2 linked regions of the Drosophila melanogaster genome follow. Changing the gene in region 1 together with any one later gene gives a genetic interaction. Each region holds a gene or a part of one and is shown on either strand. Other genes may lie near its edges.

Region 1 (18,329 bases):
GAATGTTCTACTAATACTTGACTTCAACAAGGATACAAATATAAGAGATAATATCTATGTACATCCCATAAAACCATAAAAAATTGCAATTAAATCTGGTTGTGAAAAAAATAGATTTAACTTCTGAATGTTTCAAATGTTGCCAATTCGCCAGCGTGTAATCCGATATAAGCAACAATAATTACAATTATAATCAATGTGCAATCAGAGTCAGTTACAATTTACAATTATATGACTGAATAATTGGACTATGAATATATACGACTTCAAATGAGTTTCTCTCATTAGCAGGGCAACTTTGTAATGTTAATTAACAGCGTTTTTCAGTTTTTCATTTTGTTCCCCCAGCCGAGTAACTCAAAAATCGATTCTATAATTGTGTAAAATAGAAATCATCTAAAAACAGGGTAAATCTAACTATTGTAAATACATTTACTCATTATTTTGAGAAGAATATTGTAAAAAAAAAAGATTGTAAAGTTTAAAATAAATATGAGTTCATGTTCAACGACACAAGGAATTATTTTGATTAATTTAAAGTACTAAAAATCCATATCCAAACTCATGTCCATATCTTAGTTCCTGAGTTACAATTAGTTTCCGTTGATTTCCGTTTCCTAAACTTCAAGGAATCTGCATCCATCTGAATCGAACTTTTCCCTGTGTAAACGGCGCTCTTCCAAAGGAATCCATAATTTACGGCCATCTGGAAATGTCAATGGAAACGCCGAATTCCACCGAACACCACTATTCAATTTGGCCAAAAAGCCCCCGGAGATGTACGGATGATTCTGGAAATTCCGCAGGATTAACCACGCACACACATGTGTGTACATGTGTCATTAGAGGAATCCAGTGCATGCTGCGTATCCCTCGGAACGGCTTAGCTTCCATCCCGTTTGCATATTCATGTGCGCACTTTGGTGCGTACTTATGTATAAATAATCTGTGTCAAATTTGTATAGTTTATTTTTTAATAAAACCCGAATGATCCCAGCGTAACTTTACGAGCTAACTTTTACGCGCCACGCACAGCTCAACACGTTGATGAACTAGGACGTACTGCAGCATGTGCCCCATAAATCCCCCAGAGCTCACATCCACCCGCCGGAGCACGGGTATATTACAAAATTTTTATGTGCGCCACAGGCTGAGGTCGCCCTCCCCACTCCACCATAGCGATAGGCCAGAAACGAGGACACTTTTCCCTTTGCCAGTGCCACCCATTCCGAAAATAGAAAGTCCGATGCGGAGAAAAACTTTCTGGCCCAAAATGCAAAACAATCTTTGCGAGCCGGAGTCGGACGAACAATGCGATGCGTCTCGAAATCTCAATTTAGAAGCTGCGCCGGAAACAGGAACCCAATTACCACAAATAATGAAAGATGGACTCCGCTGGGCTGGACTTAACTTCCCCCTTCAATTATGCGCAGTCAGACGAGCTACGAGTCCTTAGCACTGACCAAAAAATTCTGACTATAACCATTCAAAAATGTAATAAAAAAGGGAGGATAATTTCAGCGATAAACTTCCGGTTTCTGGTACCATTTAAATTCAATTAAGTGGAATATTACAAGGTAAAGATTCTGATGTCAAGCTATTTTTTTTTAATAATGACATCAAGCTTAAAAAGGAATATATGTTGCTAAGCGAACTAGCTTAGGATGGCAATAATTTGTTTATAAAAATTCTATTTACAATCAAATTTGGTAACATTATATTCGAAGTAGCTATGTTTTTTTTCTGCCTGTAGCCCTTCAACTTTTAATGGATCGATATTTCGTGATGTTCCGCTGACCAACTGCCAAAGTTTAGAACGCGATTCCCTGGCCATTCCGAAATGTAAATGCCGAGCGAAAAGTGTTCCACGAATGCGTATTTTATTTTAAGTACGAATTCCAGCAAACAAAGCCATTCGATGGCGGCTGGCGAAGAGGCACTTAAGGAGCGGGTCGAGGTCCAGAAAATTAAAAGCATTCCGCCAGGCTCCTCCATTTTATTGCGGATAAAAGGTTGAATTCGAGGGCCGGGCCATAATAGCAATCACAATCGTAAAACGGGCTGCAAGTACATACGAGTATAGTCGTGTGATATAGCAACCCATTGTGGAAACCTTGTATGAATGAGTCCGTGTATCCGGTGATGTGTAGACAAGGCATCCAGACATTCAGACAGCCAGTACATCGTCACAGCAATTATACAAATTTATGGACCATTATCAACATGACACAAAATTTGGCCCACAAGCCACACTTGGCTCTACTGGCTCCATTCAAGCGTGGAGCGATAAAAGCTGGGACATTTGCGCAAGCGTAGGGAGCAGCACCCACGGTAACCTCGAGACTGACTCATCGAAAACTGATGGGCCGTAAATAACGTACATAGCGACTTAATACGGGGATTCCTCTTATTGGTTTTGCTTTAACAGAATTTCACTTAGGTTTTTAGGACAGTTTACGAAGCAATGGGTAGATCCAATTGGGCTGCTGGTAGTGGTATTCTTATCTTGTGCTCACAACAGCCTCCTTTCGCGCCGCATCCTGGAGCAGCTGGGTGTCCACCTCGTCGCCCGGCAGCTGCACGTATCGCACCACGGAGCCACGGATGAAGCAGTTCTTGACGCTCAGCATGTGGGGGTACTTGTCCGGATCTGTGACACTGATATCCGTCAGCTTGATGTTCAGGTACTGATCCACCGAGTGCAGGGTGCCACATATGCTGTTTAATTATAAAGAAAGTATTAAAAATTCCTCAATTTACCGGCAAATAAACGAATCTCACCTGAGGTCGTTTTTCAACTCCACAACGACTTCCTTGCCCACCAGCGACTTGAAGAAGGAGTAAAAGAGCTGCAGATTACATAAAGCGTTAATGTTAATTCTTAAATTCACAGTTATTTCGGTTTTGTACCATTGTTATTGTTTATTGCAATTTCGACGAACGCGTTGTTTTTTTTTAGAGATGTGCACTGTAAAAATAAAAAACTATCGATCGCTGTTTTAAAAAATACATATCGATACATTTCATGTGTGATTGTGAGTAACGATATTCTATTAACATTTGGCTTATAAATATTACTTTCATAAAATTTGATCAAAAATTAATGTATATTAAATCTTTAAACTGTGTGGCTTAAAAGGAATTAAGCAGTAGCTGAGCTGCCATCTGTTAATTATTTCTATCCATGTGGCAACGCTTTGTCGTCGCTATTGGTCGAGTTTCATAAAAGCCAGCTTTGTACGGGCAGCATTTTGGCGGGCAAAAAAATATGGTTTTTAAATAATATATTTCGGTCAATTTATGAAGCTTTACTAAGGCATTCATAGTATTCACAAAAAAAAGGTGTATATATTCGCAGTCGAGTAAATACAGTAAACGCAATAAGTTTTCTTTTTAGTTATTGTGCTCTTTATTTATTATCAAGCATCAACGCATCTTAAATGGATTTTTCGATAATACGGCAAATAAAAAATTTAAAATAAATTAGGCTGTGTAAATAAATACGAAATAAATAAATAAATATTCTTACAATTATATAAAAAAAAAATTAATTTTTTAAAATAAGAGACGATATTACCGATAAAAGACGAAGGATAAAAAATAAGAAATAAAGGAAAATCATGCGAAATAAAAATATTAACAATCGCAAGTCAATCCCAACCCATTTAAAATATTGAACGCATCCGTTAATTCGAAGATAAGATCCACAGACATTTGCAAGAATTCGGTTAAGATGTATATTTTAGGGGAACAGATTAAATTGCACTTGCTAATACAATTATTGACTTTTAAATTACATTTAATAACAATTTTCTCGGGTGGTTAAAACTATTTACAAACATAAGAGGGCGCATTGACCACTTTGCCATTTCTCAAGGAGTTATACATTTTTTTTTTTGGTTTGCCTCTAGAGTCTATACCAACAAAAAGATGTGCTGCCCGCCCCGTTTTTCTGCGCCTTCAAATCGCCAAGAATCTTAAAATTTCAATTAGCTTAAAAAAATCACATTTGATGTATCTTGTATCCGGTTCTACGACTCCAACTTAATGCGCCGAATGCGGAAGGTGCCAACTACGCGCTACGTTTTAAAGTAACAGCAAGGACCTCGCGTCCCTTTTCCATCGGATCCTGCCACTCTAACGCTAATAAATTCGTCTCTATCCCACGATCGCCTCGGTGCTTCCCTGTCATTCCAGCCAATGGCCATCTAATGCTCCGAGCTGAAGTACGAGTTCTGCATGAGATACAGCTTGTCGATGGGGTTTATCAGGCTGTTGTTCAGGTTGGCCAGCATGTCGTGGGGATTCGAGTGGGAGTGCGAGTGCTGGTTGCCCGACGAGCTGGTGGACTGCAGCTCCAGGTTGTTCAGCGACAGCGAGTCCGCATCGTCATCCAACTGGTCAAAGTTGCTCCCATCCAGCGAGAGGTCCGAGCTGCAGAAGCTGTCATTCGAGTTGGCCGGATAGTCTGTTGAAAAGCAAGCCATTAGTACTTGTAGAATAATGCTTGGACGAAATCAAACTTCAAATCGAACCACTTACCATCCGGTGAGAAGGGCAAATTGGGATTCAGCGGCTGGCTGGCGAAAGTGCTGTCCAATCCACCCAAATAACCGGAGCTATCTCCTCCGAGCTCCTGCTTGACGCACTTGTCCTCCTTGTCATTGGTGTCCTTATCGTCGGTGGCGCTGGAATTGCCCGTGCCACGCCCACTGCCCGATCCTCCGCCGGAGCCACCATTCTGCTTGGCCTTGCGCTGAATCTTCTTCATCTTGGCGCGCTGATTTTGGAACCACACCTGCACTACACGAACCGATAGGCCGGTGTCCTTGGCCAGGGCTTCGCGCACTTTGCGACATGGTTTGGGTGACTGATCGAAGGAGGCCTTAAACTGTTTGCGCTGCTGCGATGTGAGGATGGTGCGTGGTCGTTTCGGACCTCTCCTTCCATCCCGTGGCCTCAGCAAATCCTCCTCGTCCAGGCCAACGAACCCACAGTGCTGAGCAGCAGCGGCTGCCAGAAACATCTCCTTCTCCAGATCGTGACGATAGCAGAAGAGCTGGCCATCGCGCAGCATGAACTGCTCGCCCTTCTGGAGCGGCAATCGGCAGGCGTAGCAAACGAAGCAGGGCAGGTGGAAGACAAAGTTCGGTATGGGTCGCATTACCAGCTCCTGCGGCAGGATCGCATGGCAGCAGGAGGAGCACTTCACACCGAACAGCCGGTCGTAGTCCATCTTGCAATAGAGTTTCGAGTTGCGCACGTAGCAGGTGTGGTGCAGCTGCATTCCGCAGTAGCAGCAGGCCAGGCACTGCTCGTGCCAGTTGGCATCGCCCACGTTCATCAGGAATCGGTCATGGATCTTCTGGCCACAGCCCTCGCACAGCTCGAAGTTCTTCTCGCACTTGATGTGGCCCACTTCTGGGGATGAAACAAGCAAAGATGGGGGAAAAAAGTCGCGTTAGTAAGTCGCAGAATACATTTCAAGTAACTAATACACTGAGGTTTAAAATATAATAAATATATCTATCTACATTAATAATCAATTTAATCGAATATTTAACCCATACTTGGAAAATATATATGAAACATTTTCTTGAGAACAGAAATATTTCAAAGAAGAATCCTAATACTTTAGTAATTTTGTTCCAGTGTAACTCCGCTTATTCGCCCTACTGTGATGGGCGTACGTGGCGTATACGTGATGGCGGCACATGTCGCTGCGAAATTATCATGACATGTGCTGCCAATGGAGCAAGGAGCGCGCTGACAATCGAATCGTGTGAAAATGCTTCAACGTCTCTCTTGTTTTTCCGTTCGCTGTTTCGCACTTTCGATGGAAAAACAGAAGGAAAACTCTTCGCTGGAAAAAATTATCTGTCGTCGGACTGCAACAGCTTGTATTGAAAGCTTATTGATGCGTAATTGAAACGTAAAGTTTTCCGTATTTGTTCGGTATTATTGAACAGCCCCCCATCTCGATTATCAATGTATATAAACATGCCAGAAAATGGCTCAATTGATATTGTATATACCACCGAACTTAAGCCAAAGCTTAACTCCTAAACAAAGTCCCTTAAAAAATGCTAATCTCCCATTGAGGAGCTACTGGATTTCAGCTCGCCTTACCCAAAGTAGAACGAACCTAATCCTCCCGTAGACGGAGCTCTTGAAACTGTAAACCAGTCATAAAAAGTAGTACCCGAAAAACACAACAAAAGCTGCATGCAGTAAACATAAAAAATATATGACGACCGCCACGAAAAATGTATGGAAGCATTTGAAAAATGAGCAGCGAGTTGGGAAAGTGCGGAGGGAAAGTGGAGAAAAAGTGCGGAGGGAAACTGGCAATGGAAGTGGAGTGTTATATTATATGGCTGTGGCTCAGTGGCAGAAAAATGTGCATGATTTATGGTTGGCACAATGGCCTCCCCACACACACAAACGCACACAGTCGCCATATCTACGCGAATGTGGCTGTATGGGTGATATATAGTCTGGGAATAGGGACGAAAATCCCTATGTAAGGGGGCGCTAAGCCAGTGCAGCGGAAAGTTGACAATGTCCTCGGGCATTTTCCTATTTTCCTTTTTTTTCTGTTTTTTGGCTTGCATTTCATCCTATTGTGCAGTATCCATATCCAATCGCATTGGCGATAAAGGTTTTTGCATGGGCCGAGCAAAAAATCAAGAATGATTCATTTGATAAACCCCAGAGGGGAGCTGCGTTTTGAGTTTGGCCTCATGTTTTTGTAGAGCTTTGAGCATCGATATTGTGACGGGATTTCGTTTGTGTAATCTAATCGAAATTTATGGCATTTTACTGCAGTTTTATGTATGCTTTTTTTCCGATTTCTCTGTATTGTTTTGGCCAACAAAGGACTCTGCATTGAGTGAGTGTGTGTTTTTGGGCTTGAATGGTAAAGCCTGGGCGAAACTTGTCCAAAAATCAACAAACAACAAGCGCAAACAGTCGGAACAAGTGCGGCACACTCATGTCAAATACATAGATTAAACAGCAGATAAATCCAAAATCAACTCGACGATAAACATAGAACTAATAGAGAAAAGTGTCCTCGTCGTTATCGCCGATAAAGGGGCTTATCTGCCCGAACGCCCCACGATTGTCGCACTATATGGTGCATTTATTGACACATTGACAGCGGGGCGGGGTTATATGGAGATAAATCGGCAGACAGCACCCAACTTCTGGCACTAATTCGGCCACTAACTGGAGTCCAGTCCACGTGCCACGCGGATTTTGGCAGCAGTTCATCGTTGACAGGCAGCTCATAATTCGACAGCTTTCATTTCGACTGACAAACAAACAGGGTCTTTAAAACTCTTCGTTGCTATCTACACCATGGAAATGGTATTAATCATAATATAAAATAATGAATAAAATAGGATGAACTTCAAAAACTACTCTTTTAAAATGTAAGATACAGATTTAATCAAATTACAAATAGGGATTGCAAAATATATTGACTTTTGCATTCTAAACTCAAATGTAGTACTCTTTGTGAGTTCCAGTGGATTTTCCGTATAGTTCTTGAATAGCAGTTTTGTTTCAGTGTAGCTGGATCTCAACGGAAAGTGACACAGAACTATGCGTATGGCGCATACTTCCGCCACACAAATGCACACCTACTGGCGATTGGGTGGGTGGGGTTTGTGGGTAGGACAGGAAGACGAAGCTGGAGCCACCGCAGAAGCCAAATATGTATGCTGATACGCTCGGTGGAATACCTGACACTGAGTGTGCTCATTTCCGTGGTCTGCCCCCGAGTGCACACCACCCCCAATGGCAGCCCATTCGAAATTCCTCGACCTCTGCAAAGTGTGGGCCACCGATAGTAGTTTAGCAGCCGGCATCCAAGTGTTTGCCGAGGAAAATGGAGCTTAGGATGAGAGGCGGGGAGTGGTGTGTGGATTGGGGTAGTGGCACGGAACGAGCGGAAACGGAAACTATTTGCTGCCATTTGGGCAATGGCAAATGGCAAATAGCAAATGGCAGAATGCGAGCATTAATAGAAATTTCATAGGCAAATGCAAAGTTGGCCGGCAAGAGAGCACAGCTATTGTGGGCGATTGAGTGGGCGGATGAGGGGCACTAAAAAACCGAAAACACAATCCACTTAGCCTCGGACGAGGTCTGGTCTGCATATGCATCACACACATTGTTTGCACACTTTGCATTTCGGAGGGAAATTCGCAAAAGTTTTCCCCAGCAACACTTTCGTTGCAACTCAGCTGAAAAGTGTTGCCTATTTTGAGGCTGTCATGCATGCGAGTGTGTGTGTATGTGTGCCTGCATGCCAAAGCATCAGTGTGTGTGTGTGTGTGTGTGTGGGAGGGAGGCAGTGTGTGGCATGCTTTAATAGCCTTTTATTGGTCGAGCCACGCCTCTTTTTGGCCGTGCCGGGCGGATGTCAGACAGGTTCATTGTCAAAATTATTTTGTGGTCAACTTGCGTTCATACTTTTGGAAATACTTTCGCCATGCTTGCCGCACATCCGCCCACTGAACTATCCACAACATGTGTGCGCCATCACAACTACAAATTCATAATTTATTGTCCTCTGTCAATATATATGTACGTGTTAGCCGGAAATTGTGCATTTGCTTTTGCCTGTTTTTACATAAGTGGACAATCTGCCTCTGGCTATTTCACTTGCTAAAAAGTAAATCCAACTCTTTGAAAGCTGAGTTGCAATTAAGTTCCAAGTTAAACATGGATTTATGCTAATATTGATACAATAATAATTAACAAAACCTATGATATATCTAACCAAATTGACTTTACTTGCATTCTGCAAACTAAAAGCAAACTAGTAACAAATAAGAACATTCTTATTTAATGTTTTTTAAATTATTATTTACTTTTGATTTTAGGCTAATTAATATGAAGAATACTTTTCTCTTATATTATTTTAATGTTATGAATATATACGCTAATTTTTACTGCAATCAATAAATGCTGAAATATTCCGCTTAAAGAAAAGTTTCAGGAGTAAACACCTTTTGAAATAAGCACTTCAACTTTATTCGCAAGAAAAAACAACGAATATCTATATATTTTCCCCTAGAGAAGCATTCCTTGGGCCCCAAAAAGCCGAGCACATCGCACGCAAACTGCCGGCATACTCAGGTGTGGGTGGTTGTACACAATCTGGAGCCTCGTCCGACCAGCTTGGAACTCACGCAGCGCAGCACCGAACCTGGACACGGATACGGATGCTGATGCGGATACAGAAACGGACCCGCAGGCCGGGCACACGCAAGTATGCCAAAAACGAAAAGCGTGAAAACCCCAGAAGAGGAACGAGCCGGTAAATTGCTCGACTGCCGGTGCAAAATACTTTTGGAACATACCTGTGCGTCCGCTGCAATCGGCAGACAATTTGGATGCCGCTGCTGCCGATGCCGTTGCTGCACCACCTCCATTCCCATTTCCATTCCCGTTTCCATTGCCATTGCCATTTCCGTTTCCGTTGCCACTGCCATTTGCATTTCCGCTTCCTGTGGCCGCTGGGCCCGTCGATGTGGGTGTCGTCGCAGCGGCAGCCGCCGCAGCAGCAGCAGCAATCGCCGCAGCAACTGCTCCGCCTAATTGCGAGGTGGCTACTGAGGTGCCTGCTGGCGATGGAGCTGCCACAGCAGCGGCAGAGGCAGCGGCAACAGCAGCAGCTGTTAATGTGTTGCAGGCTGAGTGGAGGTTGTTGCTGCTGCTGCCCCCGTTGTTGTTGTTGTTGTTATTGTTGTGGTTGCTGTTGCTGCTGCTGCTGCTGAGGGGGCTGTGTCCTGTGGGCGTGGGGCAGCTGTTAATTGGCACTGGCGTGGTCGAGGCAGCGTGTTGCTGCTGGTGTTGCTGATGTTGCTGGTGGGGGTGTTGCTGCTGCTGCTGATGTTGCTGCTGCTGGTGCTGCTGATGCTGCCCCGTTAATGAAGCCGTTGCCGTGGGACTATTGTTGCCGGAAATGCTTGTTGGCAGATTGTTGTTGCTATTGCTAAGATGCAGGGAGTTGCCGCTGCTGGCAGTCATGCTGCCGGGATTTGGATTGTCCAGGAATCGCGCGCCGCCATGATTCTGCTGCAGCGAGTACAAACTGCCACCGACTGGATTCAGATTCGTGGGCATTGGGTAGAACTCCAGCATCGTATACGAGTTGCCACAAAACACCGCTGTTACTTTTTTAGTTTCGAGTCTACGAAAATGTCACATGCAACACCGCACAAGGAACACGCGACACACAAACAAGACGCTCGATTGCTTTTGCTTTAACTTTAACTACGCTTCTGTTCAGTTTCGTTTAGAATATGATTTCGGTGGCCTATTCTTGCGCTGCCGAATGCGAGGACAACCAGCCGCGTTCGCTGTCAGTTGGCGTGTGATCGAACCATCAGCGAAATCAAAGCATTTCACTTTGCCCTCACAAAAAAAAAAAAAAATCCCAGCTGAAACGTACCCCCGCGCACTGCGCCTGCGCCTGTTTACAAAAGCAACGGAGCGACGGAGCAACGGAGCTGCGGAGCAACAACTGCCGCTTGGCCTGCGGCAACAACAGCAGCTCTTCGTGTTGCACGTGATGCCAGGGGTTGTATCGGTGCAAGGGTTGCAGCAACCCCCTCTCTGCCCCGGCAGTGCGCATGTCTCAAGTGATTATTAGCAGCGAGGGAAATTCTGGCAGAGAGCAAGTCCCTCGCAAATCGCTGGCCACACCTCAGCCTCGCTGCGATTGGCTGGCCATTTCCCCGGCGTCCATTTTGCCGCACGGCGCATGTGCGCAGGGGAAGTGCGGGTTTTCTTTTCTTTTGTTTTTTTTTATATTTGGTTTTCTCATATTCGTAGATGTCTTGGCTTTAATGCAAGACCAAGTCGGCTTGTGGGCGGCCATCGGTGGGCGTGCGGCAGCTGCATGTTGCTGGTTGTTGCTGGTGTTGCTGCCGCTGCTGCTGCTGCTGATGGGGCACAAAGACATACTTGCACTTGCACTCGCGGCAACTTTGGCGAGTTTGCCGCTCGACGGCGACAATTTCCTTGAGTTGTTGCTGCTGCTGCTGTTGGCTCTTTGAGTGGCACGACTGGACCAGAATGCCAGCAACAACAAAGGCAACAAACACAGCAGTGGCAGCAGTAGAGGCAGAAAAAAACAATGGCCTTGTCTTCTTTTACGCTTTTTTGCACTTGCATTTTACTTTTTGCGGGTGAAAAAAGTTGGCGATAAACAAGATGGGAACGGGTGCTTCTCAATACATTGGGCAGGTTATTTAAGGACCTAATGTCTCACAACAAAAGTTTTTTGAAATTCTTAAAGGATTCTTAAAATTTAAATGAACTAGTTTTGAATTCTGGATAATGATTTCCATACATTTTATTCCATTAATGTTATTATGTCTACTGTAAAAGTGAAGATTAAGTCTGTGACTATAGTATTATTAAAGAACTTAGTAAAACTGAAGTATAATCTCTTTATAATTGATTCAAGACATTATTTATTGTAGTTACTCAAAGAGAAAAGATGTTTATTTATTTCTTTTCAAAATCAATCTTTTTTAAGCAGTTTTCAAAGTTGTAAGACTTCATAAAAATAAGTTTCTTTTATGAAATTACATTTATAGAATTCTTATTCCGATAATATCTTTAAATTAAATAAAAGTTGCTTTTAAGCAAGATTTAAGATTTATTAAGTTTTCAATGCTCATACCCCTCTAATTTCCAGCGATTTAAAGCGGAAGTGGCAATGTCACCCTGTATGAGCATCAAAAGCCCACCGACAACTGGGAGGCAGCCCCATTTCCGGCGCCCCCAAAGAGGCCGAAACCCAACTATCCGCCCCCGCAAACACGCACACACTGAAGCACAGATACTATCACCGAGGATGAGAAAGGATGAAGGAAAAGAGAAACCCGAGCGGCAAGAAGAAAAGCGGAAGCTGGAAAGACAAACCAAACATGGTGCTGTGCATAAAAGTTTGGCGCTACTTCTGGAGTCGAAGCTCGAATTCTTGGCCCCCTTTTGGGCCACCACACCATCGCCTGGCAGTAACTTGATGTTTGGGCCTCGGCTTAAGACTAGGCTTTGGCTCAGCGGGCTGCCGACCGGCGTGGAAGTTGTGAACCAAGGAGTCGCCTACGCTGGATATGTGCTCCGTAGCTTAGCATGGATACCTGGGGAAGCAGACGCAGGGGGAGCAGCCGTTGGTTGCCAGTTGGCCAAGTGGGAGACTTTTCACCAAACTTGTTGGCATCGAGCAGCGGCACTTGTACAAGGAATCGGCATTGCTTGCTGCTTTTTCGCCCTGTTTTTCCCGCTTTCCAGTCGCTTCGGTTCACTTCACCTCTGTGGATTGTTGTTGCTGCCAGTTTGTGCAACTTTGAAAACTTTATTTACCGAATTCAACTGGCACAAAGGCCACCGAAGCAGCAGCAGCAGCAGCAGCAGCAATGTGCGCACTTGCTGCGGAATTATAACAAAGGCGGCGAAAAGTATCTGCTTCTGCTGCTGCACGAATTTCCCTCAATCTGAAGGGAATGCTTTCCGTTTCGTATCCACAAAACAAAGTCGCTGCCAAGTGTGCGCTGAATTTAAAGTAATTATTAGAAGTTTAGGAGGGCAGCTAACGAGATCTGAATCCCAATCGTTGGCATCAAACGGTAGCAAGGAAATAGGGGAAAAACAAAGTCGTTGGAAAAGAAATATTAAAGGTTAATATGATCCAATAAATTCGAAAACCTTTAAACAAAAAATAAATATGCCAAATTTAAAATTGCTATCCAATTATTAAGGCAATTAATACAATAAGGTACAATAGGTAATTCTCTATGATAACGTAAAATGTCATCAGAGAACGCCATCCACCGATAGGCAAATAAAACATTTACGGCCATTTCACGGCAATCACTCAATTGTATTCGTCCAAAGTCCAACAGTCCGAACTGACTGACTTTATGACGGCAATAGACCAAAAATTCGGAGGCGTGTGCATAATTAATCCTTGGCAGTAAAAGCCATTGGAACGGGGGATCGCTTGGAGATAAGGTTAATGGCCAGGGCCATCCCACCACTAGTATCCTGGCCACTGCTGTGACGAAATTATGGTTTACTGGTGCCCCCCCAATAAAGATAGTCACGAGTAGTTGGCTTATATATGTATATGCCCTGCCATATCAACTAGATGGCAACAGGGAAAACGAGGCTAAGCGAAAATTCAATTAACCTTGACAACTGGCAAACTGGCGACTGTGCGCCAAGCCAAATACAAAACCCAAAACCTAAAACCCATCCACTAATCGTCATAATAATGATGACAACATTATGCACTCGATAAGTTCGAAGTCGGCTGACAAAAACGACAATGGCAAAAAGTGGAAATTGTCATAAAACTCGACGGCAAACAGGATTTCCAACTGGGGATGATGATATCAGGGCACTGGAAACAAATTTAATAAAACATCCGAAAACAAATGGCAAAGGGTAGTAATGCTCCTCGGGTTGCTTTTATTTTGGGTTTGAGTTGGCATTTAGATTCTGATTCGGGTTTGGGTTCAATGCATCCATTGTGTGCATGTACCGCTCACCTCTCCCCCTGCCTACTGCTCCTTTTATCAATGGCAAACGAGTGAGTTATATTGAATAACCACAAGAACAACAGCAACAACATCGAGGAGAGCACGCTCGGAAGCCTCAGGATAAATAGTTCTTCTATGGCCCTTCAATTACCATTTGAGCATGATAAGCGCTAAAGAGGCACAGACATTGGCATTGGAAAGTGGTAAGTGGTAAGTGGTAAGTGGCCGTGCGGCAAGAAAGAAAATCCAGCCGAAGGAACCGCACAAGACTCCTTGAAAATATGCCTTAGGACCTCTAGGCAGGCAGGACCACCATCCCAGCAGCAGAGGCAGCATGGGTTAGGAGTTCGGGATAGGGGTCATTAGATGGAAACATTTACTCTAACTCAACAGCTCGACTATTGGCGTCCAGTCAAGGGGAAAGCGCCCAGATGGAGCGGGTGGTGTCATTGTTTGTTTTGGCAAGGCTCGCCACTCGGAGTTTGGGTAGGTTCCGCAGGACCTAGGCATATTCATTGGCATCCCAGCCAAGAGAAGAACATCTCGGCAGCTGCTCAACAGACACTAAGATGCTGCGCAAACTGTCAACACTACACGCGCCTACTACACGCAGCGAAAATATTGCGATGACTTGAATTCAATTTGAATCTGGGGATTCATAGGGTACTTAATAGATTTAAAGCACATTTTATAAGCAGGAAGATGAGGCATAAAATACAATTTAGTTTGTTTTAAAAATACCATACTATTTATTTAATGTGTATCCACTCCCTCCACCGAATATGAAGTGTGTAAACAATGGGTCTGAGATATGCTGCACTGCACCCGCCACGAGAAAGGAGTCCTGGGCGATGGAGGAGAGGGAGAGAGCGCGCAGAGGACACGCAGCGGGATCGACCCTGAAGTGGGCTAATTTGACGGTGCCCCGCGTGGCAAATGCAACCCCAACAATGGGTTGTCTAGTGTCCAGGCCGAAGGAAAAGTGTTAAAGGATTTATGCGCGTAATTTTGCAGATGTTTAGATTTCGCTCTCAACTCGCTGCAGTTCGAATGCACTGCAAAATAAAAAATGTAACTTACATATTAAGCAGTATCTTGCTACTTTTTTGAATCTTCTACAGACTTCTTGAAGCCCTATTTTATATGCTTATTGAAGATTACACATATATCTAAGGTCAAACTATACTTCAATTTAATTATCATGGATGGGCATGGTATTTGAAAAGATTTAGCAAGCCTTTATGTCCTTTAAACCGCACACAATTGTATTAGAAAAACTCATTTCGCTTTTTTTTTCAGTGGATCACAACCCAATAACTTTGTGCCTGGTGCGCCGATCTGTGTCAACAACCTTCGCCCGCACCCACATTCATATCCACATCCAGCCTCTAACCCCCGGATTCCAGTTGAGAGTTCGGGTTCGGGACTCTCTGACAGACATGTAGTCTCGCCTCACTCATAACAGGGACATGCAGGACCTGAAGGACACGCTGGCATGGGGGGACTCAGGCAGGCCAAAAATGGACCTGAGACGCATAAGTCAGAGCTCAAGTGGAGTCTGGGACTGTGAAGGGGCGCAGCATGTGCTCAATTTAGTTTTGAATATCGTCTGTCTTTTCGAATAATATTCCATGTTTGTTCAATGTCAATTTTAGTGCTGTTTGATATAGCCCCACAGCCAACAGTCCAAGCTGCTCAAATCCAAATCCCTGTATAATTACCATGATGAATCCCACTGATTCTCCGTTTATTATTGGCCATTGTGGTTTATTTGTCTTTTGGATTTTGCTCGCAGGCATTGTTTATAATCGGGAATCAAACGACTGCAGAAGATGTTTATACGAAACTCTGGCTTCGTTTTAATGAGGCTGGGAATTGTGAGTGTGAGTCAGAAAAACATTCACTCTGCAATAACATTCGAACTGCATTCCAGCGCAAAAACAAACAGTTGTGAGATGGTGTGAAATTTTTGAATTCTGCAAACTCCCATCGGCGGCCAAAGTGAGGTTCCAATTCCCGGCCTGATTCCCAACTCTCTTTTACCCAAATATTTAAGCGCCTGTGGGCCTTCTCGTCTGTTGCCCTCCCTCATCGTGGGCTATCAAAATGAAAATGATACTTTGAAGTTTTCGGGCAACGACAAACGCCAAAGACAAATACAAATATTGGCAATACGCTAAAGCCAAAATCAAATAGAACCCCACCAGTTGGCCAAACCGAAACCAATATTCATTTGGCGTTCGCTGGAGCGGCAATAAATTGCTCAGCTGCCAGTGACCGGCTACGCCGGAGATTTCCAGATTTTGGGGGCTGGTCAAAGGTCAGGGGGCGGGGCATCAGCAGGGCGGGTGGGGATGGTGAAAGGTGGATGGGGCTGACAGGGCTGGTGCGCTTTTCATACGCGTGTTTAGAGCCGCCCAGCATAAGCCATAAAACTTATATTTCCAAATGGCCAACGTCAATAGCAGTCGGGCACTGTGACTTCTAAATTTTATGAAACAAATATATTGAAATTAAAAAAAATTTGTATTTTTATGAAATGTAATTATTATGTTCTAACTTTTTTGTTAGGTCATAAAAGTAGAAATATTTATAATACACTTCAAAGTATTGATTACATCAGTTCCTTACTTCGTATTGAATTACACCCACAAAAACTAAAACTTCACAGTTTTCTGCACATTAAAAGTGAAGATTATAAGAAGATTATCTTGTTTTTAAACGAGCTATTATTAATTAACATATTTGGCTAAATTACTAAACAATTATCTATAAAACTGAAAATCTCATCAAATTAGATAGGGATTATTATGAACTTTTTCTAAAAATAATTAAAAATTAAATCAATTGAGAGCACTGTTCTCAGCTGAATCGATGGTCCCGCAAATTGTTTGCGTGCTGCTTCTGCTTGACTATTTTTCATTTTGCTAGTCGCCGATCCAGCAGGACTGCCCCTCGCCCTTCACCCAACTACCACCCCCTACCGATGGTGGGGCAGAATTTTCTTTTTGCTTGCCAGAACATTTTCCAATTTCATTTGCGTTGAGAACGCGGAATGTGAGCGCGAACGGGCTTTTGGACGCATTCATCATTGGCAGGGCGCCATCATCAGTTGCAGGCTTGGCATCATCGCCATCATCGTCACCATCACCCCCCAGTTCCTATCCCCAACCCCATTCCCTCCCTTGCGAAATGCTGGAGCGGAGCAGCAGCATCATGGGCAGCCAGTTGGCCGTTTGAAAAAACAACATTTCAGCCATATTTTTCTTGCTTTCAATTTGGCGTATCGCGCTTTGGCCATTTTTCATACGGGCGCTTTGATGCGTAACCCGACAAATGCCCTCCAGCCCCCCACTTTGGCCACCCACTCTTTGGATCTCCTTGCGTTCTCTCTTCCTGATACTGGTTCTATTTTTTTGTGGATTTTTTATCTCGTTTCTGGCCAAAACGCAAACGCATAAAACGCGTCCTTTGAGCGATTTGAAGTCAAGTGTAAAAAGCGTTTATGCCAAAAAGCGGAGAACAACAAATTTGGGCTGGGCGCAAAGTGTTTTAAGTTTAATTTGAAAAATATTTGAATTTTGCGCATTTCTTGGGTCAGTGGTCAGTCATTAGATGTGCCCATGAATTGGTGTGACTTTCTATCACTTTCAATTTTCCATTGACAGAGGTTATCTACTTACGAGTGGGAAAATCTAGTGCTATACAATTCACTCGCTTTGGGTAAATAGTTTATATCGCTTTGGGATTAATGGGAGCGTTGGCAAACAGGAGGGTAATTTTGAAAGTTTCACAGCCCAATCCTCCCCCAAAAACGTCGCCCTATTCGGCCGTTTAGTTTGGCAACTCCAATCAGCCGCACAATCTCTGATTGCGACTCGTTCGCAGCTCAAACGTTTCAATATTTACACAAATTGCCTTCATACGGCTACGAATTCGGATACGAATCGCATCTGTGTCCGCCCAGCCGTTAACCGTACTTCATGGCCAATCTCAGATACTAAAAGTTGTCATTTCAATCTGTACCCGAATGTGTGTGATTCGGCCCATGGGAACGATTTCGAGGTTTGTTTAGTGTGGCATCAATGTGGAGGGAAGTAGCGGGGGCACGTTTCTCAAAACAATCCCTTTGACCATGGGTGGCATGATCTTTTCAGATGAGAGATATGACTGGCAATCCTGTGAATGTTCAAACTACTACTAAATGGATTTAGCAATATGATAAATGCAAATTACAATATTTCAAGACTGTATATATTTTTTAAGGAACTGCACTATCAAGATCAATATTACGTTATGTAAACGTGAATAGAAATCATACCTTAAGCTGCAAGTAGATCCCTTAAAATATGCATAATTTAAATAGAATGCCGATGCATCTTTGGGATAGGTTTTTTATACTTTTGGTATGCCATACTCCAAAACCTAGAGTGGATGGTCACCCAATCTTGTAGTATTTGCAACTCCTGACCAAGCCGTCTGGTGCTCTGCAATTATGGCCAATACGGCTAGCTAGGCGACTTTTATAGGAACAAAACCAGCTTGAGGTCAGCATGAAAATCCAAAAGCATAAAAATTCTGACCAAGAGTGAATAAACATAAAAAAAAAGGGAAAAATACCCAACCAACGACGTCACATTCGGTAGTAGTAGTTTTCCGTTGGCCGTTGTTACCACTTGTTGTGGTTGTTGGAGTTGTTTTTATTATTATTCTCAGTGCAAAAGAAAGCGATGGCGAAATGGCCAGAAAAAATACCAA
Region 2 (15,024 bases), on another chromosome or scaffold:
ATTTGCATGCATCATTCTTGAATTACAGCACTGGAAAAAGGGCGAGAAATGGAGAGGGTAGGAGGAGGAGGAGGCGGTTTATCCCTTAGGCTCCTGCTCGAAGGACCTGCTTTTTGTTCCAGTTTCACCAGAGGCTCGCATAATCCGCTCAACTGGCGACGCTGCTTAGTCCTTTTATCCTGTTTTATGTCGCCTGTCAGCAGATGAAGACGTGGAACGGAAAATTAGAGCAACCTGCCTGATGGATGGATAAATGTCCCTTCCTTTCCGCTGGATTCCGATCCTAATGCCCTCTAATGATTACAAATATTTGTACCTTGCTGTGGCCATTTTAAGAGGGATTTGCTTTGTCTGCTCTCTCCAGCCTTGTGACTCATTGTTGTCTCCTGGTCTAAATTTGAATGGTGGCAGATACAGAAATAGCCCAGTCAAATGCGAAACGTCTGTACGCAATCAATTGTCACTTTCGACAGCATATTTTGAGCCAACGTGCGTCTATAGATAGCCATCACTACACTAAATATAGTGCCCAACTCTTTCCTGGCCACCAATTTGGTGAATAATTTGGAATAGATCACCAAAACATTGACAGTGGGGCAACATCTAATGGTTGTCAATTAGAGCTAAACATCATTGTTGAATAAGTAAAATGAATTACAAGGGGATTTGCCAATAAAAACGGTTTAGCTTAACTTTAAACTATGACAAACTATTTGTCTCAAATCCCCCTTTTCAAATTCACAGCTTACTTTTGAGAAGCTTCTTGAAAGCGTCTTTCAGCCCGTTTGTGGCTAAATCGAGAAGTATTATTCGTAGAACCACCATGTGATGGAGCAATACACCTCAGTAGCGACACGGACACGCATCTGTCACATCAAAAGCCGCGGGCATCTTACAACGCTCCGGTAATTGGTGGGGCCGGATCCGGGTCTGAGTCTTTTTCCGTGGCTGCCTTCGCTTACAGGAATTCTTGGTAAAATCGAAGGGAAAAATAGATGCGAACGGGAGCCAAACAAATGAGCGAAAGTGCGACGAAATGAACTTGTCATAATTATTTGACAGTCAGGGTAAGTGGGATGCTGACTCTGCCCAGCGGCACATTAACCAAAAATTGATGTAAAACATTTTGCCGATGGGAAAGGGGTGCCATCGCCATTGGCATCGGCATCGGATTCGGTTCACTTTGATTCCACGTTTCGGTGTCACTGCCAGCGGGTTGCGGGGTCAAGTGGTCGCAGCCTGTGAAAACAAAACTTGCGCCTCATTTCCGGTTCAATCAAGTGGCAGACAGCTTGGAGCATGATAAGACTCCTGCCGGCGACTGTGACTCTCTGCGCCCGGTTTACTTAGGTGTGGCTGTTGTCAGTCAAAGGCGCAGACAGCCAGCTGCCCTCCTTGTAACCCCATCCCATTCCAAGCGATCCCATCCCACCCAAAGCCCCTACCAATTAAGCGGTTTTTTCCGAGACAAATTTGTGCGACCTTTGACTTTACGGAGCGAAATGAGAGGAACGGGGATAGCATTACTCGTTAGCAGTCGTGACAGTTTTTCTTAGATTTTTTCATAATTTTACCACGAATTTTTTCCTCGCCTGGCCTCGTCCCCAGCAATTTTCCAGGCAGTCTCACACAAAAAAAAAAAAATATGAAAAAAAAATATCAGATTTCCTCGTTGCACATTTTTTCCATCCATTCTTCGGGGCTTGGGAAAGTGCAGCAGCAGTAGCAGCCTCCGAAATCCGGACAATTGGCAGCCAAAATGCCAACAAACAAATCATTCACATTTCGTCCATTGATTGGCGAGGCGGTAAAGCGAAATTCGATATTCGGGATCGTCTGGATGGTCCGGAGGGAGGGAGGAGAGAGGTGGTAGATGAAAGTGCTGGCAGGGATGCAGCGGCAAGGGTCCAGGGGCTTAGATCCCGGCACCATCCTCCGATTTCCATAGGGTTTCCGCACCGATTCCGGTTCGATTCCCAGTGACGAGCGCACCTGTTCCTCCACCGCCGCGAAAGTTGTCCCATCAACAGTTGGTCGCACAATTCAGCTTTACGCTCTTCCAACCAAACGGGTAATACTATACGTATTTCCCTCAATTCGGTCCGGCCTTGCCGCTCTATTTTCGACGTTATTAAGTTTAACGGAAATAATCAACTATTTGCCATTTTTTATACCCATTTATAATAGTTAGAATTTCCACAATTGTCGAACGGCTGCCGCGCAAAAGTTACAATAAATGTGGCCAAGGTCTGAGTGATGAAAATGATACGCGGCAACTTTAGGGCTGCCACATATGGTGTAAGTGTAACTGATAGTTCAGCAGGGTATTCGGTTGCCGTTTACCATTTTACCAGATACCAGTTGCCCAAGTCCAAGTGTTGCACAGTTGGCACAGTTTGCGGTGCGCCATCAGCCGCAGTGTGGAATCTCTGCCTTAAACTCGGTAGATTCATCGCAGAAATTAACTTAAAGATTATTTTATTAAGGGATGAAATAGAAAGGCTAACAATACTGAGAAAAAAAAGAGTTATTCATTTATTTTCCCAAAAGTACCCTGTAATCCGAAAGACATCGTTAGCGCTCGCCCAATCTCAACTCAACTTTATAATTTACAATACTGTCTTTCCTTCAACTTAATTATTACAAGAATGAAAGGGTTGAAGCGCAACTCAAAGGGTTAACAAGCAACTTCTTCAGCAGATATACTCAAAGGGTTAGCAAGGCGAACTTCTTTAAGGGTTGTTCCTCACCTAGCAATCAAAAGTTTTTAATTAACAAACAATGCAACCGATTTTCCGAAAAAGTAGTGTAAATAATTTGCAATGATTTTTTAACCCAAAAGGAAGTTTTCATTGAACCCGATCCGTGACATCTTGAGAATAGGTCAACATTGTTGTTTAATTAGAAGACAATAGCTGTCAATAGCTTATTCCGGACAGTCAGGATTCCGGCTCACCATGAAGGGAGTTGGGCCGGAGTCAAAGGTTGTTGGCTAATTGCAAGGCGGGGTTCTTGTTTTTTTTTTTTTTCTTTTCGTTTGGCGAGGGGTTGGCGAATGTACTGGCTGGTACCAACGGCAGGACAGCCAGCTGTGAAAAAATCTTATCCACACTCGATCTTAATGACTACTTAAACAGCGACAAAGCCAACGCCCAACCCCACTCAATCCCCGGGTTGCAACCCCCTGTTCCGGGATCCAGATCGGCTCAAGTGCGGCACTTGAGGCAGCTGTTTGGCACTCGGGATGACTTTAATTTAAGCCCTGGGGTGCCATATATATGGAAACCTCAACATTAATAAGTGTTAATAATTGTGCGTAAGCGTGTGTGTGTGTGTTTTTTTTTCCAACTGCGTTGACACGCCCCCAACCTCCCGAAAGCAAGTCTATAATTTCACATCACTTTCGCCACTGTTTTTGTGGGGGAGTGATGGGCGGCTGGTTGGGAGGACAGAACCGAGCCGGCGAACTGAGACCGAGTTAGAAAGTCCGTCCAGAGGAGCGTAACATGGATAGGGCATGGGTATTGGATTACCAGCGTCCCATGGCATTCGAATCCACCTCCGTGTCGGGCGGCGTCGTCCTCCTCCTCCTCCTGCTGACTCCGGAATACGGATGGTTATGGCAACGGACGGATCAGCAACCGAAACAGCATCCCTGGGGGTCTCCAATGATTTGTTGTTGCCCGCGGACAAGTTTACAAATTCAATTTGTCAGCGATGCCTTAATGTTGTTGTTTTCCGGACGGGGCGAGTGGTTGCAAGCACCATTTCATAGGCCTGGCAACGGTTAACCCAAGAAACAACGCAGCCAAATTGGCGGAACGTGCGAAGGGCGTCGACTACAGCATACCCAGTAAGCTGGATTCTGTGATCCCTAGGGCAGCATACAAAAGACGAACTTATCTAGTACATAAATAAAAGATTTAAGAACGCATTTGATTTAATTTGAGAGTTTTAGAAGATTATCATATACCCTGGAGCTTACTAACAATACTTTTTTAGTTTATAATTTATAATTCAATTCAATATATCAACAGGAAGAAATCTGTCACTACTTATCTGCCTTGGGTACCATTGTAAAATGCTAGCGATATTGTGCTGGCATGCCAAAGCCACCCCTAGTCGAGCACACCCTCTTACCCGATACCCTGTGTTACCCACCCGGTAAAAGCATATGTTTCCATTGCATACTTGAGGGCGCATTTGATTAGAGCCCACCGAGGCGTGAGTATTTAATTTTGTTGTTCGTTGTTGGGTCGCTGCGCGTTTTGACACGCGCTAGTCGAGAGCACGTAATTAAATTAATTAGAGAGCCGTTCCCACAGGTAAACCTCCACATCCACCCACTCACCCATCCACCACAATTCGCTTCGGTCCAATCCAATCCATTCTGCCACCATTCTGCTATTCTGTACTTCTGCCGTTCTGCGGCAGTTTTGATGCTCATTTGCAGTGACAGGCGACACACTTCGCTCGGTGGGTGGCCCAGTCGGCGGCAGGTTGATGGGTGGTGGGCTGGGTGGCGTTGTGCGCCGGTTGCCAGGAGAACACACACATAGAAGCTGCTCGGCTTTGGGCTTCGGCTTTACCTTTTAATGAAATTCCTAACCAATGTTTGCTTCGCCTCGGTCACTATGGCGATTCACATCCTACTCCGTTCCATTCTCCACCTCCTCCTGACCCCCATCAGATGTGCATACTTATGTACATATACGTATCAGTCGGAGATCGGCACGTGCCTGGAACTGAAACACAGGTTCCGCATAATTTTTCCCAAGAATGAAAGCATAAACGAACCGTTTCTCGCCGACCCTGGTGGCCATAATAATCGGCTCAATCATAATGAACTGGATGCCTCATTCTGGTGCAAGTGCAATTCCCGACTCGGTTTATTTTTGTATTCATTGTTTTTTTGTTTTGCTTTTTATCGGGTGTATCAAGACCCAGCCAAACGCCCACATACTCGTAGACCACTGACCAAGTCTTTGTTTAGCTTTGCCATCCGATCGACGGCTCCCTCTGGCCTTGTTGATTTATAAAATCCAAGTTTATGTTCATATTTTTTATAGAGCCAGCACAGTAGTTCGTTTTAATGATCTTCGACCCATAAAATGGCCTGTCAAAATTATATATTCGGCTAATGCGCCTTGTGCTCAGTTGTATAGGAAACACGATTTTTGTGTGATTTACGATCGATTTGAGGCGAGTCGATTCGATTGATATGGGATCCCTGCTGCAACAGCTGATCGTCTGGAGTTACCCTATAAATATTTGTACAAGTGGGAAATGTGTTTTCCATAGGAAATGCAATACCTTCAGATTGGCTGTTGACTTTTCCATTTATTTCGCAAGTTTCTGTGGAAATAAACGAGTGACAAGCGGACCAAGGAAAGTTCAGTGCGCTTTTGTCTATGAAGCGTTTTAATTACCAAGCCGTTTCATTCAAGATTTTTAGGAATTGAAATCCCATGTGCAGTTCCCCTTCGGAAGACCAGCTACAAAACGAAAAAACCCCAATCCAGAAATCTGCATACCAAACCTCTTCTGGGCATTACTTCATGCAAATATCGCTGCAATTTTTAGCTCCATGGCCTGCGCTTTTTATCGTTTTGTTCTCTATTTTATAATATATGCGGTCAGATCTCCATGGCTCAGCAACATTTTTTTCGAGGGGCAGAACGATGAATGCCTCAGACGCTTGGCATGTGCTGACAAATGTGAAACTTCCCTAATCAGCATGGCATGGAAGAACTGACCCAATTCGTGGGCTCGCCAATCGAATGACGCATTCCTCGACGACTTTTGAACCGGAGAACCTGAGCTGCGTCGCGAAGGGGGTGGAGGGGCAGGCCACACTGGGCATCCAACCAAATGACAACGGACAAGCAATTCAATGTCCCAATGCTGGCGTAGCCAAATCCAAGTCCTTATCTAGATGTCCGGCGAACAGTCGCCCAGATCAAGTTGTAAGAATGCGAACATGGCAACAAATGTGCTCGACTCAGGTGTTAAAACTTTTGCATTAAAATGGCGCCCAACGCGGAACGGACACAGGCCTCTCGATCCCAAACCATGTGGCCCCCACTTCCTTTGGCTGTGTAAAATTAATACTACACTCGGGGAGGTCCAGCCCGATCAAAACTGAACGTAAATCTTAAACACTTTCGAGTTCTACCCTGCCCCCGTGCGATTCTCTGATTCTCCGATTCACCGACTCCCTGATTCTCCATTGTGCAGCAGGCTTTTGCAGTCGCACGATCAGCACGTTCAGTTCCGAGGGGATCTGCTGCTTCAAGGGGGAAACTGGGATGCTGGATGGTGGATGGTGGATGGTCGACGATCGGCAACCGGTCCACGACAAATGTGCCAGTCTCAGCAACAAGCCAGGCCGCAGAAATATCTGCAAATGCAGCGAATTGTGCGCAGATTTGTTTACAGAAGACTCTCCGAGTGGCAAACTGAGGGAAGACGGATTATCGTGGAGGGAGGAGCACCATGATCATCGTAGATATAATTGACGACATGTTGTCTCACGATCGTGCTAAAGCGATTAAAGCTAATTTAATGCCCGACTCGGAGATTCACTGCACCCAAAATGTATCCACCAAGAAGTGCACTCCCTCACTTTGAGGTCATGCTCGATTTTCTCTGTGGAAAGCCTTAACAAAATGCCATAATCAAATTTCTAGCTTCACTTTTGTTATTTCTTGTGGCTGAATTTGTTGTGGGATCGAATGGGCTCATTGTCGGAATTCCATTGCAATTCTATTGCATGTGTGCATGTCGCCTATTTACTTAAATGCACTTGTTTCACTTGCTCACTTGTAATTACATCCAGGCTTTTAAGTCAGTCTCTGTTGGGCCAAAAATCAAGTGTTGAATCAACATGAATTGTTTAGCACACGATTCAATTGTTTCGTCTCGACGGAGACGTATAAATAAATAAATACGAGACGGCCATGAAATATATATTTATTAGAATAAAAAATGTTAACCGCTATCGGTTTATGACAACTGTTTGTTTAATTGTAAAATATATATTCAGGAGAGGTTTAAAAGATATTTTACAAGTTGCCTACCTTAAAGCTTAACTCTTTTACTAGAATTTCATTTGGATGAAGTTTCAACACACTTTAAAATTTATGTGCTCAGTAATTTGCCAGAGCTGCCCCAATCAACATCAATTGGCTGCCATACTGTCTGAGCATTCTAATTCATTTAATCGAGCTCATTAGTGGCTCTAAACCATCATGTTTATGCTACCCAATTACCATCGGAAGTGATTCACTTCTGCATGGACGGAGAGATAGCCCTGTGATTTTGATTAGATGCCAATTTGTTTATGGCACTCACTAATCCGTCCACAGATCGGATATCCCATATACCATATACCATTTGCCATATTCCATATACCATGTCCCGTATCGGTTTGATTATGCCCAGCACACTTCGGCTCGTCTTACATGAGCATTTCGATTTTTGGGAGCTCCTTCTCTAATGCGTTACGGATCCATCGAACCCAATAAGTTTTAGGCGTTTTAAATTACCCGATATTCGCGTTGCGCGTTTTACGATTGCCATTAAATTTGCTGGCGGTTACCATTGAACAGGCCGAGAAACTCCAACTGATTAGCTTATTAATTTGTTTTATGTGCTCGAATGGTGGCGGAGTTGTTTCGAATTAATTTATTAATTTATGCGCATAGGAAAACCAACTTTTCAGTTGGCGTTCGCCCAGCGGCAAAATCTCATTCACAATGGGCATTGTTCGCCCGCATCCGAGAGATACTTACCAAAAAAAAAAACTAACATAATACAGAGAAAGAAACAACAAACTTTGAGGAAAAGTGGTTTTCGACCCACCCCTGTGCGATATTCTTGGCCCTTCGATTTGGGGAATGGGAATGGGCGGAGTCTAGGCGCATTCTCTGGCCGGCGGAGGGAGCGAGAGAGGCTGCTCCGAGTGCGCACCGCTCACACGAACTCGTTTCGAGTGCCGAGATACATTTAGCCGGTACGAATACGAATCCAAATAATCCGAGCCAGGGATTTCCACTCAAGCAGCGCCGCTGCCGCTTCGCTGCCGGCGTCGCATTGAGCCACAAAAGTCGGCTGTTTCGGTGGTTCAGTCGATTCGAGCCACTCAAAGCGAGCGCTACGGGAACGGTCGATCCGCCCGAAGTCGCAGATAAAAAACCTACCAGATACATTTCGTTCGTTCTGAAACGCTATAACTAAATATATATTCGATTTCAAAACATCGACCATACATTAACTACCTGAAACGGTCGAGTTCACTACCCCGCCACGCGTGTGTGTTTTTGTGTGTGTTGCAAGTGAAAGTAATCGCAAGTCCACAGAATGGTCACCCTAATGCCATACAACTACGCTGCCCCGCGATGCGGATTAATTGACAAAATGATCGAGCCAAAGGTAATCACATAGTCGTAGTGCTCTCCTCGCGAAGCTTTAAAAGTGATGTGGTTGAGATGGCTGTGCCGTCGGTTATTACTATTACTAGTATTGCTAGTGTTATGACTATGATGACGGCGGTAGCTTCCTTGGTGGTTGCGCCTTGTGGGGCTTCACCTAGTCGGGGAGTAGTATCCAAAAAGTGAAACTCCATGGCGAGATAACGCTTCGACTCTCATTTATCAAGCCTGGATGGAGTCTAATATATGTACGAACAACAGTTTAGGATGCTTTAAGCTGATCTATTGGTCGGTGTGATATCATAGCACACTTCATATATAAATCTAGTCCAGCTTGACAACTAAGTCGTGTTCAGATGCTATTCGATTTCATAAATCTAAGCGAATAAGTCGTGCAAATACACTCGAAGAAATACAATTTCATTGGGTTGCTTGAAAATGTATGGAATGTTACTCATTCACAGAGGATTATCAATTTTATAGACCCATCCTGCGAAGAAAAGCGCTTTAATGACTGCTCATTGTTGGGAAATCGTTAATGGGGATAAAGATTATGGGCACCTGACCAAAATTTTATTACAACGCATTAATCGGCTTAACTTTTGGCTGTGGGGTAATGAAGCAAACAAGTTGAGTCCCAAAAGGTCATTAAAAACGCTTAATAAAGTGCCGAAATAGTGACAAACGTTTTTCCAATTCGCTGCTGATGCATTTCTCCCATCAAATTACCAAAGCCTTTTCATTCACTGCACGCTTGCGATGCAAAGTCTGGCCGAGATTAGCGTAAAGTTCGTTTCCCGACGATTTAATGGAACGGCATTCTCCAGGCTTTTATGGGTCCCTAAACTACGGCTAAGACAAAGTCGGATCGAAGGAAACGTGACGAACGTGGAGTGGCCGGATGGCCGGATGGTTAAGGCGAAATATTAATAGAGCATAAATTACAGCTCTAGTGGGTCTCTGGGTGCCGGCTTTATGGGAATTTAAAGAGCCTGGCCCACAAAAGCCAGAGCTGGGCTACGGCATTCGTCCAGCGGCATTAATCACATTTTAATTAAGTTTAAGCCGTAATCGTAAAAATTAACACGCCATAATTCAACTGCGACAATACGCGCTGCATGTAATTTATGACAAAGAGAATTCACATCGGTGTGCGTGTGTGCGAGTGTGTGGGGGGGGGGGGGGCGGTGGAGGAGTCGAAATATTGATTATGGCCACTGCGATTGACACTTGGCGATTGTTGATTATACTACCACGATCGTGGCCCAAAACGTAATTAACGTGCCAAAGTGTTAAGGTGCATGGGATAGGTCCCATGCCATAGCAGCCCCTTCCTTCGATTCCACTTCGTCCACCAGAAGATACAAATTTTCCTCTTGTTTATTTTGATTTTTATCGCGGGGACTCGAGGGGGACTCAAGGGGGCTCAAGGGGTTTGTAGGGGTCTTCGGGGTCTTAGGGCCGGGTTAATAAAAAATTTGTCGCCGTCTTCTTGTCTTGTCTTTTGTTTGCCTGCCTTTTTGTGACCGAGTGTGTGTGTTTTAATCTTCTTCTAAAGCAGCAGAAGAGACAAAGAGATTACGATCACAGGAATTTCGTTAAAGATGCCCACAAACAGGTCTTTATACCACATATCTCCCACTCTTTTCCGCAGCTGGAACCAACCAAGCCGGCCCAACCAAAACCCCCCCAGATACTGATTCGAGTGTTGTCTGTGTTAATGTTTACGTTGTCAGCTTGTGCCATAAATTAGTTTAGTAAAAGGTTGCATTTGACTCTTCCCTTTCCCCCCCCCCTTTTTTTTGTTGGCCCCTCACCAGCTCACTTTTGCATACAACTTCGGACTCGAATTCGGTTGCTCGTGCAGCACGCAATCCTGCAGAATTCGCGACCCGAGATCGCAACTCCAATGCGCAGCTCATCGAAACGCTACCGTTCGGCAATCTGTCCGCTTGTCCGCCGCTGCGCATGCGCGTGTTCCCTTGGTCCGTCGACAAATCTGAGCAAACTGCGTCCTGCTGCCCCCCACCAGATCACCGGATGATGGACAGTGCGTGCGTGTGGTCATCTCGCCGGACGGCAGAAGCTGTCAACCGAAGCCGCTCAGCTTTCGCTCCCTTCCCGCCCTTCTTTTTTTGTTTTTTTTTTTTTTTGTTTTGAGGGACTTCTTTAGGGGTGGAGAGGCGCACAAATTCCAGCACCTGGGCTTGCCGCGCCCCTTAGTCCGCCTTCGATTTATCTGGCTTCCGTTCGATTTGCATACATGTCTTCTTAAGGGGCGTTTTTTTTTGACCATTTGTCAAAATCATTCTGGCAAAAGCTGAATTGTCAAAGCTTTATAAATATAAAACATAGTAAGTGGATGTAAAGGACGTTCTATTGTATGCCTAGAGACACAATCTTTCCTCGAAAGTCTGTATAGTTAAATGTCATCTTTGTTCCATCTAGCCATTTTGCATCCTTATCGAAATCCGCTGCCACCTGCTGCTTTTCCGAGCACTACCACCTCCCCCCCCCCCTTTCCGACTTCCCCTCCAAATGGCGCCGCACATCCGAGTAACAGTTGAGTTAAACTTTTTCCCACGCACAAGCTCGGGCAGCGAAAATCGCTTGGCGCAGCAGCAAATGGCGATTGCGAATTATGTAAAATTTGCTGTTTTCTTTCGCCACTCGCACTGGATAACCCAAATAGAGTTTCAGGCGGTGGAAGTGCCGAGCTCAGCAGGGCGATTCCACGCCAGACGCTGAGGTGTGAGTGCGTCCGCCTTGTTTATAAACAAATTCTTTCCAGGGCCGGCGAAAATCCAAAAAATTCACAAAAATTAACATTCAGTATAAGTATATATTTTAATGTGATTTTCTTCACTTTTTTTTCAGGTTAAACGTCCCAAGACAGACCACACGGATACACATGAACGCAACCGGTAGGTTCAAATAAAATAAAATATATATAAATATACTTATTCATAAACATGTAATTTAGGTACTTTTATGAAATAGATTTCTTAAAAGTGTAATATGTTCTAACTAAAACACATATAGGGGAAATAATAGTTTGCATATATTTATAGGTTGAAACCTAAATTATGAGTCTTTTACCAACTTGCTTCCCAGGATCCTGAAGAAAAAGGTTTCCCTCTCTGTAAGCGTAGACAATTTGTAGCAGAACGGCGAGAACATCCTAACACTTGACAAGAGGCTCACCATTTTCAATTGGTTTCGATTGAAAAGTGGCCATGGTCGGATCGTCGTAAGGGAAGGGAAGTGCACATTTTGCATGTGGTCCACACAACCTGCCACATGCCCCGGCAGAAATTCAAGGAATTCGGTGCACGCTTCCGCTGCGACACTGAAGCGAACCCAAGACCGAAATCCAAAATCCAAAAACCGAAATCCGAAAAACAAAAAGAACCGAAAAGTGTCAGGGCACTTAACACTTGCCAAGGGGCATGGTGGACATCGTAGGGACACGAGGCGGTGCAGGGCCAACTACTTAAAAGAGGCTTAAAGGCGGCAACAGTTGCGGCTTAGTGCTAAAGACCTCTCAACCTCCCTCTTCGATAATTTCTATTATAATATTCGTAAATCTCCCATTGGTCAGCCCATATTGTGAGGAGAGCAGATCTCAAAGCCAAAGTTTGGGTTGGGTTTCCTCCCTCCATTTGGCGCACGCGTCGTTCTGCGCTGGGAAAATGATTTTCCCCCTTTCACCAGCTGCTCCCCTTTTACCATTTTCCCTCTTGTTGTGGCTGCCAGCAAGATAAATGTGGCCCCTTTCCAGCCGAGCGAAAGAATCTCAAGGTGTCAGATTCCTTTGGAAATTGGGCACTTAATTTACCTTCCTATTAAAATTATGAAAAATTGTTAAATATTTTCCAAGCCTTATGGGGGGATGGGGGGAAATCGTAGGCGGAAAAAGTGGAAATATGGTATACGGTATAGTCGAAGGAAGAAAGTGAGGCAGATAAATCATTTGAGTAGAGAGTAATTTAAAATAATTATCCTCCATAGGGAAATAACGCGGTGTTTAAATGATTTTATCTTGCTACTTTAAGATAGAAAATATGGGATTTAATTTGCCAGCTGATTGTAAAAAACTCATCTTAATTGCATCGAAAAGGATTGAATTTCTCCCCCAATTTGTCTCCATTTTTCCCCCAAAATATCGAAAAGCCTTTTCTTTGTTTTCATTTTCCCGTAGCTCTGATTTATTTGACTTTCGACTGCTGCTCAGTTTTATTTGATTTTTAGTGAGCCCTCGTAGATTTTCCAATTTGTCCACTTTAATAATGTCCTACTCGAAAAGCAATAACATCAGAGTAACAGAACAGAAAAAAAAACATCAAAACACAAATCGTTAAATATATGTATATAAAAGAAATATTTGTCGCTCAACATTTGCTGCACACATGGCCATGGCAAGGGAATGGGGGGGGGGATGGGTCAGGACTTGTCCGGGACACTCCGCACATGCCACCAAAAGGCGGACCCAGCGATCCGCTCAAGTGCCCCGCACCGATTCCAAGCGATTCCTCTTCGAGATCCCAGTAAACAACCCGAACAAATCCAGCAACAGGAAGAGGGAAAGAGAACGGCCAGATCGTAGAAAAATATTTATAACACTTGACAAGATTTGGAAGACCTCTTCGCTCGGGTCTTCGACGGGGAAGCACTTGACTTGGTCCAAGTGGCCCGAAGGGGATCGGGGAATGGGCAACCGAGAGCAGAACGACTACGTGCCGTTAATTTAATGGTTGTTTAAAGATTATTGGAAACTATTTTATGTGTTTCCTTAACGAGCAAAAGGTTCTGTGTTTCGGTTCTCCTCCACACAAAGAAAAAATCCTCATGTGTGTTTTGTGTACTATTTTATACTCAATCCTCAGTCGGCCTATTAATAATTACAAATCGTCTTGAAGTCGCTTGAAATTCATCAGTTTCCAATATTGAAGATATAATTACATATTTCTAGCTTTATTTTAGAGTATTAAAAGGGAATCATAATTTAATAATTTGTAATTTAATAACTAGTTCGCTTCGGGCTTTAGCTATTTATAAGCACAATTAAGCTGTAAGTACACGTTTTATTAAACAAATGAGCCTAAAATAAATACTTTGATTTAGCCGCCACCTTTTTGATGGCATATATAAATTAAATTAACCGGTTTTAATATAAATACCTCGATTGATATAATGCAGTCCCAGTGACTCGGTTATTACATTAGTCATGTTCGCCGCCTAAGGATATATTTCATTTGCTAAGAACTCGTTTTTAAATATTCATAAGCATAAATTGTAGAAATTATATAGTCAAGTTCGATTTAAATATCAAATGTGACATTACAATTTAAGTATTTCAGCTTTTGTTATTTGTGAATGAATTGTTTACATTTAAAACGGCTTAAAGGTCTGTGTTTCATTGTATATTCCCACACTTGACACCACCACCCCATTAATTGGCTCACCCACTTATGACGCCTCTCATCTTATCTTCTTGCAGCCTCTGCAATCTGTCACAGCAGCAGCAGCAACAGCAACCCCAGCAGCAACAGACGCATCAGCAGCAACAACAGCAGCAGCAGCAATCCCATCAGCAATCCCATTCCAGCACCGTGTTGGCCAGCAATGGACCCAGTAGCGCCGGTGCCGGCATGGGTGTCGGTGTGGGCGGAGGCGGTGGCAGTGGAGGAGGAGTAGGAGGCGGAGTTGGCCAGTGCAGTCCGCTGGGACTGCCGCCGCAGAGCCAGCCGCTCCAGCCGACAATAGGATCGCTGGCCTCGCTGAGCGGTCACTACTCGAACGGTAATGCCAATCCGAATGTGAACTCGAGCAGCTGCAGTCTGGCCACAGCATCCAGTTTTGCGCAGTCCGCCGGCAGCAGTTTCTCCACATATCAACAGGCTGGTGGCACCAGCGGTGGAGTTTCTGGCGAGGATGGCGTGGTGGGCGGAGCAACTGTGATGTCGCACTGGACGCACGATGGCACTGGCTCGAGTGCAGCGGTCAAGTCGGAGTCCCGCAGCCCGGGCCAAGTGCACGCATCGCTGGACAACGGCTCGGTGGCCGGATCCAATTTGTACGGCTGCAGCTCGGCCAGCAATCCGCTGGACGGAGGAGCAGTGGCGGTCAACTCTTCGGCAGTGGCAGCGGCAGCAGCAGCGGTCTACGACGGCAAACATGACTACTACTACTACAACAGCATGCAGCAGTACACGCCGCCGCCCTTCTACTCCGGATACGGAACTCCTTATGCGGCGGCAACGGCGGCACGGCAGGCCAAGATGGAACCCGGAGCGGCAGCTGCGGCGGCTGCCTACTTGACGCCCAGCTATGCCGCCAGCGGCAACAACAACTCGCAGCTGTACAGCAGTCCGTACGCCGGCTACAACAACTTCGGGCAGCAGGACTACGGCGGCTACTACAACGAGCAGTACGGCAACTATTACAGTCCGGCCAACTACTCACCGTATGCGGTCAGCTCGCCCAGCTCGAGTGCGAGTCATGGACATGGCTTCCATGTGGCGGCCTCCTCGAATCTCTCCGAGAGTCCCACGGACACCCACTCGACGACGCCGGTGCACCAGACCACCCA

The links.
Region 2: of Lmx1a (region 1) and eya, changing one suppresses a phenotype caused by changing the other (phenotypic suppression), as found in Drosophila melanogaster (one study listed by BioGRID).

Annotation. Positions count from the first base shown.
Region 1 is NT_037436.4:12,321,299-12,339,627, reverse strand, and holds Lmx1a (LIM homeobox transcription factor 1 alpha), read right to left. Parts: upstream 10,397-18,329; 5' UTR 10,159-10,396; coding exon 9,375-10,158; intron 5,422-9,374; coding exon 4,543-5,421; intron 4,469-4,542; coding exon 4,209-4,468; 3' UTR 3,727-4,208; downstream 1-3,726. Other genes in the region: CG10418 (uncharacterized protein), read right to left, coding at 2,502-2,718, 2,782-2,849, 2,911-2,913.
Region 2 is NT_033779.5:6,529,238-6,544,261, reverse strand, and holds the start of eya (eyes absent), read left to right. Parts: upstream 1-8,150; 5' UTR 8,151-8,361; coding exon 8,362-8,433; intron 8,434-11,309; coding exon 11,310-11,356; intron 11,357-13,752; exon of another isoform or gene 13,753-13,839; intron 13,840-13,932; coding exon 13,933-15,024. UniProt on the Drosophila melanogaster protein: Tyrosine phosphatase thought to play a role in transcription regulation during organogenesis through its intrinsic protein phosphatase activity. The phosphatase activity was shown in vitro. Appears to function together with So and Dac in eye development.